Linked DNA regions of Rhinolophus ferrumequinum. The protein of the gene in region 1 interacts with the protein of each later gene in a biochemical or structural test. Links are inferred from orthologs where the notes say so. Each region holds a gene or a part of one and is shown in the gene's direction. Other genes may lie near its edges. The genes, in order: CEBPA, SMARCA4 and PARP1.

Region 1 (3,818 bases):
AGGTTTCCCTGCAGGCTCCACAGGTGCTGGTGTATAAATGGGTCCTGCATCAGGCCAAGAAAGCAGCTCCTCAGGCTCACATTGGTTATTTAGTTAATGTATCTACTTTTACTTCCAGTCCAAAAGCATCAAGCTAAAAATACCTTGTGTCTGACCAAAAAATGAAGCAGTTGGGTCATTAATCATTGGGAATATGTTGAGTAGGAACTTGATTAAAGCACAATGAGAGTCCTCCAGTAAAAGTTGCTTCTTTACTGTGACCACGGCCATGTTTTTGCACGGTGAGATAGGCTTCCACCTTGAGGGTTCCTGGGCAGGTTGTGGTGCCTTGCCAGGCCTTGGAAGGGTGGTGTCTGGAAGAGGGTCTTGACCAGCGCAGCCTCGCGGTTCTCAGGGAGGTACACCTCCATCCAGCACCCAGGCAGCTTTGGGCTTCAGTGTAGGACGTAGTAGGGGCGGTGAGGATGGGGGTAGAGGCTGGAGCGGGCCGGCCCAGGAGGCCCCATGAGAACTCCATATAGAACGCGCGAGGCGCCACGTGGCTGAGGAACGCGCTGCCATAAACCCCTTTCCAGGGCACCAATGAGTGCGGAGGCGGCGCAATGCCCAGGGGCACCCCGGCTTGGCCGCCTTGTTCCCCAGGATCGCGCGAACTCAGCGCCCTGCGAACCACCCAGCAGGTTTCTCCCAGTAGGTGCTCCGACCCTGGTCCTCCGAGACTCCGAGGCCGGGGCTCCCTCGAAACCCTCACTTCCCCCTGGAGCCCACCTGAATGGGGAGTGGGGAAAAAGCAGTGGATTCCAACCCAGTTGACAGTCAGGTCCGCTTCGGGATCCTCCGCCCGGAGGCATGTTCGCCTCCTGTGCGCTCCCTCTCGCCCCGGTACCCCAGCCCCGAAGTCCAACTCCCCCCTTTGCACAGGAAAAAATTGGTGGCCCTGCGCGGAATAGCCGCACCAGCCCCACGCGCCTAGCAACCCTAGAGCTCCGGCTAGGAGAAGTAATTAAAAAGAAAGTTTTCCAGCCCAAGCGAACAGACCAAACAGGTCCTCCAGGCTCTCTGGACGCGGCCTCCTCCTCTTCCCTCCGCTCCCCGCGGGGTCCTAGCGCCCGGCGCTACTGAGCCCGTGGGACTCTGAAGTGCTGCGAGAGGCGGAGCGGTACGTCTGCATGGAATCGGTGGGGTATCCTGGAGATCAGAGATAAAGACGCAAAGTCACCTCGCTCCGGGCTTGGCGGTGCGGTGGTGTACGCTAGGCCTTACCTCCAAAACTGTTCCCTGCCGCTCCCCACCCCGTTCCCGGCCCCTTGTCCACGCCGCGGCTTTCCAAAGACCCTGATCCTGGACAGGACTGATTCTAGCTTTTAAAGCAAGTCCGCGTCACAGTAGCTCAGAGATGAAGACTTGCCCTCCACCAACCCCCGACGCGGCGGCTGGGTGCTGTTGGGCTCCCCTGGCAGTTGGCTGGAAGTGAGTGTCCTGAGGAGGTTAGAAAAGGGGGGCCCGCCGCCGACCACGTGTGCGTGGGGGCGACAACTCGGCCGAGAGTGGGGCATGGCTCGCGGATCACAGCTCTGCTCCTGGCGCTGGAGGCATGAGGTATTGTGTTGCGGCCTCTCTCGCCAGCGCTGCTCTCCTGCCCCACTCACGGTCCCCTCCGGAAGGCAGGCGCTAAGACCCAGGAGGCGCCGCTCGCCGTCGCCAGTAGTCAGACACTAGAGGGCGACCGCTACCCTTAGTATAAATGCGGGGCCCGCGCGGGCCTGGCCATTCGCGACCCGGAGCTGCTGGGGCGCAAGCTAGTAGGGGCTCTTGGTGGGCGGCGGCAGCAGCGGCGCCCCGCGCAGCCTGGAGGCCGCCGAGGCTCGCCATGCCGGGAGGACTCTAGCTCCCCCATGGAGTCGGCCGACTTCTACGAGACGGAGCCGCGGCCCCCGATGAGCAGCCACCTCCAGAGCCCCCAGCACGCGCCCAGCAGCGCCGCCTTTGGCTTTCCGCGGGGCGCTGGCTCCGCGCAGCCCCCAGCCCCACCTGCCGCCCCGGAGCCACTGGGCGGCATCTGCGAACACGAGACGTCCATCGACATCAGCGCCTACATCGACCCGGCCGCCTTCAACGACGAGTTTCTGGCCGACTTGTTCCAGCACAGCCGGCAGCAAGAGAAGGCCAAGGCGGCCGCGGCCCCCGCGGGAGGCGGCGGCGGCGACTTTGACTACCCGGGTGTCCCAGTGGGCCCCGGAGGCGCCGTTATGCCCGGGGGAGCGCACGGCCCCCCTCCCGGCTACGGCTGCACGGCGGCCGGCTACCTGGACGGCAGGCTGGAGCCCCTGTACGAGCGCGTCGCGGCGCCGGCGCTGCGGCCGCTGGTAATCAAGCAGGAACCGCGCGAGGAGGACGAGGCAAAGCAGCTGGCGCTGGCCGGCCTCTTCCCCTACCAGCCGCCGCCGCCGCCGCCACCCCACCCGCACCCGCCGCCCTCGCACCTGGCTGCTCCGCACCTGCAGTTTCAGATCGCGCACTGCGGCCAGACCACCATGCACCTGCAGCCCGGCCACCCCACGCCACCGCCCACGCCAGTGCCCAGCCCGCACCCAGCCCCCGCGCTTGGCGCCTCTGGCCTGCCGGGCCCCGGCGGCGCGCTCAAGGGGCTGGCCGCTGCGCACCCCGACCTCCGCGCGGGCGGCGGCGGCGGCGCGGGCAAAGCCAAGAAGTCGGTGGACAAGAACAGCAACGAGTACCGGGTGCGGCGCGAGCGCAACAACATCGCGGTGCGCAAGAGCCGGGACAAGGCCAAGCAGCGCAACGTGGAGACGCAGCAGAAGGTGCTGGAGCTGACCAGTGACAATGACCGCCTGCGCAAGCGGGTGGAACAACTGAGCCGCGAACTGGACACACTGCGGGGCATCTTCCGCCAGCTGCCCGAGAGCTCCCTGGTCAAGGCCATGGGCAACTGCGCGTGAGGCGCGCCGCGGCGGGACCGCCCTGGGCTGGCCCTTGGCTGGGACCCAGAGAGTGGTTTCGGGTCTCCGAATCTCAAGACTGCCCCAGCCGCGAAAGCCAGGACTAGGAGATTCCGATGCCATATGAAAGCCTGCCCTGTCGCGCATGCCCCTTGCCTTCTTCTGCGTGGGACACGGTGCGTCTAAGATGAGGGGTCAGGCAGTGGTTTCTCCCTGCAAGAGAGGAGAAGCGCGGTAGGGCCGAGCCGGGAGCCCGGCGACTCTAGTATTAAGGAATATTCTTGTGCCTTGGAAATGCAAATTTGCAAACTTACCGCTCCGATTCCTACCAAGTAGGGGGAGCAAATATGTGCCTTGTCATTTTATTTGGAGGGTTCCTGCCTCGTCCAGAGGCTGCAAGGCTGCAGCAGGCCCCCATGAGAGAAGGAGGAGTGCAGGCCCCCAGCAGAAGGAAATTTAAGGGAGCAGAGATCCGACAAGCCAGCCCCAGCTGCTGCTCAGCGCCTGTCCTTGGAGGGGAGGAAACACAGGGATCTGGGGCTTTGAACCTAAGGTCGTTCCCCTAGTTCCACATGAAGGTGGAGGGTCTCTAGTTCCTTGCCTCTCACCTCCCAGCCTGCAACAGGTTGGGCTTCCAGGGCAGAACTTCCTGAGATGGGGGTCACCAAGAGACCCATGGGAGCTCCCACCCCCAGTCAGACCAGAAAGCCAGGTGTGGGTTAGCTATAAGGACATATGTTCATGGGAGTGTTGGTCTGGTGGAAGAGGGGAACTAGAGGTCCTGCGGTCTGGGGATTGGGGAAGGGGTGAAGGGACACTGGGACCATCAGCCATGTCTGTACTATATGTCGCCAGCAT
Region 2 (3,600 bases), on another chromosome or scaffold:
TATTTCCATTTTACAGGTGAAGAAAGGGTAGTGTACATGAGTCCAATAAACTTGCCTGGCACCCACCAGCTACTAACATAGAGTCAGGTTTTAAATCCAGGTCTTTCTGATTCCAGTGTGCGATCTCCTCTTCTACTCTACGCTACAAAGCATGCTAGCGATGCTGGGTATTCACTAATGACTAAAATTAACTTCTTTGTCATTTAAATTGAGGGAAGGGAGACAGACAGCAGAAAAGAGGGTACCCAAGAAATGTGAAGGGAAAAGGAGTCAGTGGTCAAAAAGGAGGCGAGGCTTGAGTTGGTGAATCAGCTGACACCTAAAAAATGAAGAGCAGGATAAAGAGGCAAGGTGGGGAGAGTCACGGGCTGTGGAACCTGACCTTGGGGAGCGTTTGTCCAGTTGGGGGACTAAATGAGGTGGCACTGGAGATACTTTCAGAACACAGAAGAGGCCGCCTAGAGTTCTGGGCCTTCACACTAGGAACAAGGCTCTCTCACTGCTTTGATGTCGACTCAAATGTCTTCTTCGCATCGGGCCCTTCCCTGGCTGTCCCATTTAAAATGTTCACGACCCAAGATGTCTCTGTCTCAACACAACGTATTTTACTTATTTCTCTTGTCTCTCACTTGCCTCCCTTACTAGACCGTGAGCACCACAGCGGTCTGAGATTTTTGTCTGTTCTGTGCCGCTGCACTTGCGCCTGGGACACAGGAGCAGGTTAATAAATATTTGCTAAACTAATTAATAGAACTAGGTAGGCAGAAAAGACAGGTATGGTGGGGGCCCACCTGGCTTCGCAACAGGCCCCGCCATCCCCCTACCAGGGATGAAAGCGATTCTCAGGCCCGCGCTTGGCCGACTTTGCTCAACCTCAGTCCAGCTTCACGCACAGGGCCTCAGGTCCTCATTCCGACTATCACGACCACTCGGCCATCCCTTCCCTGCAGACGCCACCGCCTCCCCGTCCCATCCCCCAACGTGCCGTCGCCGCCGCCACCACCGCCGCAGTGGCGCCCGCTCTGCGCACGCTCGGCGGCGTCGGGACGCGCGACGTGCGGAAGAAGAAGACGCCTGTGCGCAAGCGCAGGACCTTCCTGGAAATCGGTGGGAGGTGCGTCGGGCGCGTACGCTCTCTCTGGTCCGGCCCACCTCCCCTAGCCCTCGTCCCACGCGCACGCGCGCTGGAAGCGGAAGGGCGGGCGGGCGCGCGCACGAGGCCGGGCGGGCGGCGGAAGCGAGAGAGGCCGTCCGTGGGGGGGAGGAAGCCGGTGAGTGCGCGCGCAGCGGGGACGCGGGAGGCGTGGGGGGGCGGCCGAGGCGGGCGCGCGCACGAGGCTTACTCTCGCTCGGTGGCGGCGGCGGCTTCTTTGTTTCGTGAGGAGAGGCGAGAAGCTTACTCTGCCTCCGGCCCCGCTCGGAGGGTCGGGGGCGGTGCCGGGAAGGCGGCGGTGCCGGCGGCTCCCGGTAAGGAACGCGGGCCGCGGGGGGAGCGCCGCGCGGGGCTTGGGAGGGTGGTTTGAATGGAGCCGGGGGGCCGAGGGGGGAGGGGGCCACTGGCGCCCAGAGCAGGGCTGGGGTACGGCGGCGCCCGAGGGTCAAGAAGCCCGTCCGGCACCGCGCGCGCGGGGAAAGCCACAGTGTAGCGAGGCCGCGGCGGCTGTAGCATCCGCGCGGGCGGGTGGGGTGGGGGCCCGGGCCGCGTGGAGGCCGCGCGACCCCCGCGCGCGCTCTCGCCAGGGTCGCGGGACAAAGCTTGCTGCCCCCTTGGCGGGCCAGGGGTCTCTGCGGCGGCTGCAACAATAGCCGGGCTTCGGGGATTTTCTGGCTATGTTGTAAAAGGTCCGAACCGAATATTGCCCTTTAGGGAGGCTGTGATCGAGGCTCCGTAAGAAAAAACCCAGATGTGTCCAGTGCCTCCTGGCAGCACCCCTGGGTTAGCCGACCTAAGATTTTATTTTAAAAATCACTTATTCTAGGTTTTCAAGGAAAGGTAAATGACTTGGCCCATCCCTTGCAAGTAGTGACTTCAAAATGTTTGCCCTGAGTGGTCGACAGCAAGTGGAGGAGGACCGGCACTGTTTGCTGTTGAAAGCATTGTATTTGTTTTGCATCCTTTTCCCTTCCTCCCAATTGATTTTCCAGATGAAGGCTTTTATTTAAAACATGGTCCTTTAAGAGAGTGTTTTGACGGTCTTGAAGACACCAGTCTTGATTTTTATTTTTTTCTCCCAGTGAATCCTTGGAAAAGTAGGGAATAAATAAGTGTAAGAGCCACTTCCCAGGAATTTGAAACAAGTTTTCAGTTTGAATTGACAGACGGAATTAGGGTTTCATTGCTGGCGCTGTCAGTCACTTAGCTGTGTGACTTTAGGCAAATAGTTTAATCTCTGTACCTCTTAGATTCCTCCTTTGTGAAATGGGAATAATGTCACAAATGGAGCTGGTGAAAACCTGAAAAATGGTTCCTGGGAAGTGAGAAGCCCTGTTGTTACTGTCTGGTTCAATCTCCTTCTTCATTGTTCAGCAAATATCCATTGAGTCCCTAACTGGGTGTCAGATGGTTGGTGGTTGGATGCCCTGAGGAGCCTCTCCAGTCTTGTAGGAGAACAGGTGGTAAATGTGGGAACTACTCCCCTTGGCCTTTCATTTAATCCTCACAACTCTTACTGTGAAAGGAACACAGTGGATACCCAGGGGAGTAGCTGGAGCCTGAGATCAAGGAGGCTGCCTGGAAGAGGGGGCCTCTACTCGAGTCAGGGAGGATGTCCAGGCTTGGCTTTTGACTGCCCTGTAATAGTCATTGTTCCCTCTGCTACACTCGCACGTTGCCTTGGTCCTTTCCTGTGTAGACGTTCACTCCGGGTTGTAATTCCACATCCAGTCTTCTCTGAGGGCCATCAGAGTAGGGTGCTGTCTCCCGCAGTGTTCTTTGGGCCTGGCACATGGTAGGCCCTTAGCAAAACGTTTGTGCAATGAGTGAAGGGCCCTTGGGAGGATTGAGTGAACATGTGCGTGAAATGCTTGGTACAGGACTGATTAGTGGTGGGTTGTAAGCAGGAAACATTTTAGTTGTTGTTGGTTTTTAACTTTCTAGGCTATTGTTTCCCAAACCTCATTCCCCCAGAAGGAGGGTGTGGGTTGGTAGTTAGTGTGGAATGGTGGTGAGGAGTGCTGTTCTGGAATCAGACCTCCTGGATTCTAAATCTTAGCTTGACCTTGAGCAAGGTACTTATCAGTGGGTCCCCCCCAACTTGTGAAACAGGCATGACAGTGATGCCACCTCAAACGGTGGTTGTGAGGATTGAATGAGGTAACATACCGTGTTTCCCCGAAAATAAGACCTAGCCGGACAGTCAGCGCTAATGCGCCTTGTGGAGCAACAATTAATATAAGACCCGGTATATATTATATTAGACCCGGTCTTATAGTAAAATAAGACCGGGTCTTATATTAATTTTTGCTCCACAAGGCGCATTAGCGCTGACTGTCCGGCTAGGTCTTATTTTCGGGGAAACACGGTTTGAAGCTGCTTAACACACTGCAGCACCCGGCATATGGTGAGCTAGTTATATGTATTTTACTAATTTGCCTTACAAT
Region 3 (3,818 bases), on another chromosome or scaffold:
ACCACAAAAGATGATGGTGGCATTGACAGCCGTGCTGACGGGAAGGTGGTAAGACACTATGGAAGTCAGGATTCAGAGATGAATTGGATGTTGGACAGAAGAGAAAAGGAGTCAAGTTGATTCCAGGAGTTTGACCTAAGCAATGCAGAGAACCATGAACCATTCCCTGAGACGAGAAACAGTGGAGGAGGTTTTGGACATCATTGGGGAAGAATATAAGACATCCAAATAAAAATATTGAGAAGGCAGTTGGGTATCGCTCGCTCTCCTTAGGGGTCTAGGGCAGGAATCCTTAACCTTGGTGTGTGTGCTCAGGACCCCCTTGTCTGTCCAATGAAGTCTATGGTCCTCTAATGCAATGGTAGCTTCCAGATACAGTATCAGGCAAACTGTGTCAGAAGTCACAAAACAGAAAGCCTCCCAGACCAGATTAAGATGCCTGAATTACACGGATTATTACATCAGTTCGAAACACCTGATTTAAACCTCCTGCGGCGAGGGGAATAACGTGGGGCAGAAAACACACATAGGACAGGACAGAGGCAAGGTGGAAGGACCACACCATGGAAACACCAAGTTATGCAATGTTCATAAGTTTTCTCTCTGCTGCATCAGCCAGCCCCACTGATGGTAGGGTTACAAAGACCAGAGCTGAGGATGCTCGAGGCTACTCAACAGAGTACTGAAGCCAACTCACAGTCACCTGTCAGAGAGACACAAGGAGAAGTATGCCTGGCCACAGATGTAGCTCACCAATCAGCTTGCAGAACACACACGGGTTTTATCTGCTGTTTTGGGGCGGAGCATATGGGAGCCAGAATCAGACCATAATATTACCACCAAGGAGAGGCCCAGAAGTCAAATGATCAGATTATCCTCTAAGCAAAATTCTTTTATTTGTTCCATCCTGTATTCCCCTTATTGTATTTACCTTCAACATATCTAACAGGTCACTTACCGTATTTAGGGTTCTTGCCTATGTCTCACAACATAATTGCCTACGTCAGTATCATGTCTCTTAAGCTACTAACTTTCTTCTTCTCTATGCTTAACATGTCTTACGAGTTTCATTCATCCTGTTTTTTCTTGTCCTCTACAGCACACCCCATTATGTTTTAAATGAATAGAACAAAATGTATAGGATTAAAAAAGGACGCAGTTATATAATATAGTTCTATAACAAAAAAATAACAAAATCTAAATAAAAATCTAGTAGCAACCGATCTTCTGACTATTGCAATTTCAAGTAGTGATGAGTTTCACAATTATTGAGTTGTTTCCAACAACTGTAAAGTGACGCGCTCATTGAAAGGGAATGAAGGTAGAATTAGTTGGGAGAGTATGTAAGCCTCCCAGGGGACAAAATGGTTAATGAGGTGGCGTCCGGTCCTTCCCATAGGTGCACAGGCGGTACCAGCCCAGGCTCTGCCGGCAGCAGCAGCCAGCTGAGCTCGCGCAGCCGCAGGCGCGGGGCAAGAACCGCCCGCCGCGGTCGGCAGAGGGCGCGCGTGCGGGCGGCCCCGCCCCTTAAACGCGTGCGCCGGGGGCGTTCCCGCCACCAGGCATCAGCAATCTATCCGCGAGCGGCGGGTGGTCGGCGCGGCGTGTTCGGCGACGGCTCTGGGTGCTCGGGCTCCTGCAGAGAGCAGACTGACGGACGGACGCACGCACGCACGCACGCACGCGCGGGGTGGAGAGGCGGTGGCAGCGGGTCTCCAGGGGGCGGCGTCGGGCTCCCGGAGCTGCAGCAGCACGAGGAGTACGATGGCGGAGTCCTCGGACAAGCTCTACCGGGTCGAGTATGCGAAGAGCGGGCGCGCCTCCTGCAAGAAATGCAGCGAGAGCATCCCCAAGGACTCGCTCCGTATGGCCATCATGGTGCAGGTGCGGGCGGGAGGGCCGCTTTGTGCGCGGCGGGGCTTCCGTCTCCGGGAGGAGTGGGGGAGGGCTTGCCCGGAGCAGCGGGCCGGGCCGGTCCCTCGGACCCTTGGCGAGGCCTGTAGGCGCTGCTGCTGCTCGTCCAGCGTGTGGCCCACGGGGCGGACCCTCCGGAAGATTTCGCTGATCTTGCAGGAAAAGCCCGGGAAATACAGTCTGGAACTGGTGGTGCCTTTTGTTTTGTAAAAATAAGGAACCGCTTCTATTACCGTTAGTCTCTGGCGGAAAAAAATGTGTGCGTGGCCTTTTGAGGCTCTTCTGATTTTGACCTAGCTTGTTCTGGAAGATTTTTGCTCTGCATTGATGGCGGCCACTGACATGGGAGGATTTTTTTTTTTAAAAAAAACGCCTATTTTGGGCTATCATTTCAACAGTCGCTCACCCTCATTTTTAAAAGTTATGCAAAACTATGCAATTCTGTGTCATAATCTGTACAGTGCATTCACTTTCTGCCCGATTTGTGGTTTAAAATAACATTTCCCCCAACTTCCTCGCTTCATAGTTGCATCTCTTGATGCATTTGCAGCTTATGGGGTTTGAGTAAGTGGCTTGGTGTTGGGGGGGGGTTCCTCTTCGGGACTTATTGACAGATTGGGGATCCCCGTCCGGGGTTTCCTAAGGCTTGGGAGATGCCCGTGGGTGCTGGGAGTCCTCTATGAGACGGTGTGTTTGTAGGCCCTTGCCAAGGGGGTGCCTGACTCCTCCAGCTTCCAGTTGGCTCCTGTTTGCTTGGGTGGTCTTGGTTCTCACCTGCCCTGTCTCCCCATCTCCAACATAAAGCTGTCTGTTGTCCCACCTTAGTGTTCACGGTCAAGGTAACTTGACTTTTCCCCCCATGGTGAGGCAGAAATGTGTTTTAGGAATGAGGGGAGCGCCTTCACCGGATTTTCAATAGTACTTAAAAATTGAAGGGGTGGAGGGGAGTGGGTGCCAAGGTTATCTCATTTCGTGATGTGGCAGGAATTGGGGCTGTCATCTTGTTATCTTCGGCACCTGGCACATAGTACTTACTCATTCAATAAACACTAGGAGGTTCCAGGCTCCATGTCGGGTACTAGGGGCACTCCATCCCAGGGAGCTTCCTGTTTGGTTAAAGGGAAGATGACTGGTAAACATTGCTCTCCAGGGGTGGATGTCACCTGATGGAGCTGTGCCCTAGGCATTGTTTGCCCATCTTGGGAGCTTGGTTAGGAGTCTATTCCCAGAAGTGGCAGGAAATCAAGGTTGGAATAGCAGACAAGGCCTGCCAACTGAATTGCCACATCTCCCACGAAGCATCTTTGAGCCTCGCTGGGGCCCGGGATGTGAATAGAAGGTCTAGTGAGTTTAGAGAACAAATTTACATCTCAATCGTCACTAACCTCTAGATAAAAGTCATTACCTCCCATTATGAGTGTAAGCCACAAAGGCATCTTAGTAGTACTTGTGATTTTTGTCACCAATGGTAATTACAGATATTTTCATATCACTTTACATTGGTTGGGGGATTTCTCTACATATCATTTACCATTTATGCTCATCACTGCTTCAAAATTACAGTAGCTATGAGAGTGAGTATTAGATCTTGTTACTTAATGCTTTCAAGCTCATGAGTTACTGTTTCACTATAAACTTTTAAGAAACTGTTTTGGAAATTATTTCAATATAATTGGTTTTCTTTGTGAGCCTCTGTCTTTTGTCACGTGTTTTTAAATGTTTTTCTGAGAAAGGGACATCCATAGTCTTCCCCCGGCAGCCACAGAAGACCCTGTTTTGTGGAGGACGGACAGAAACCTAAGTAGCCAGTGTGATGAGGCAGGGACACAGAGGAGGGAGAACTCTGTCTGGGGGAGTCTGGGGTGGCTCCATTGAGGAATCAACTTCTGAACCTAATGAAGTTT

The links.
Region 2: the proteins of CEBPA (region 1) and SMARCA4 form a complex in vitro, tested with the Homo sapiens proteins (2 studies listed by BioGRID, with this or other methods). The link is inferred for Rhinolophus ferrumequinum from reciprocal best matches to the Homo sapiens genes CEBPA and SMARCA4.
Region 3: the proteins of CEBPA (region 1) and PARP1 form a complex in vitro, tested with the Homo sapiens proteins (2 studies listed by BioGRID, with this or other methods). The link is inferred for Rhinolophus ferrumequinum from reciprocal best matches to the Homo sapiens genes CEBPA and PARP1.

What each region holds. Positions count from the first base shown.
Region 1 is NC_046298.1:34,512,963-34,516,780, reverse strand, and holds the start of CEBPA (CCAAT/enhancer-binding protein alpha), read left to right. Parts: upstream 1-921; 5' UTR 922-1,895; coding exon 1,896-2,960; 3' UTR 2,961-3,818. UniProt on the Homo sapiens protein: Transcription factor that coordinates proliferation arrest and the differentiation of myeloid progenitors, adipocytes, hepatocytes, and cells of the lung and the placenta.
Region 2 is NC_046301.1:39,452,661-39,456,260, reverse strand, and holds the start of SMARCA4 (transcription activator BRG1), read left to right. Parts: upstream 1-1,125; 5' UTR 1,126-1,271; intron 1,272-1,292; exon of another isoform or gene 1,293-1,467; intron 1,468-3,600. UniProt on the Homo sapiens protein: ATPase involved in transcriptional activation and repression of select genes by chromatin remodeling (alteration of DNA-nucleosome topology).
Region 3 is NC_046310.1:14,340,595-14,344,412, reverse strand, and holds the start of PARP1 (poly [ADP-ribose] polymerase 1), read left to right. Parts: upstream 1-1,562; 5' UTR 1,563-1,764; coding exon 1,765-1,884; intron 1,885-3,818. UniProt on the Homo sapiens protein: Poly-ADP-ribosyltransferase that mediates poly-ADP-ribosylation of proteins and plays a key role in DNA repair.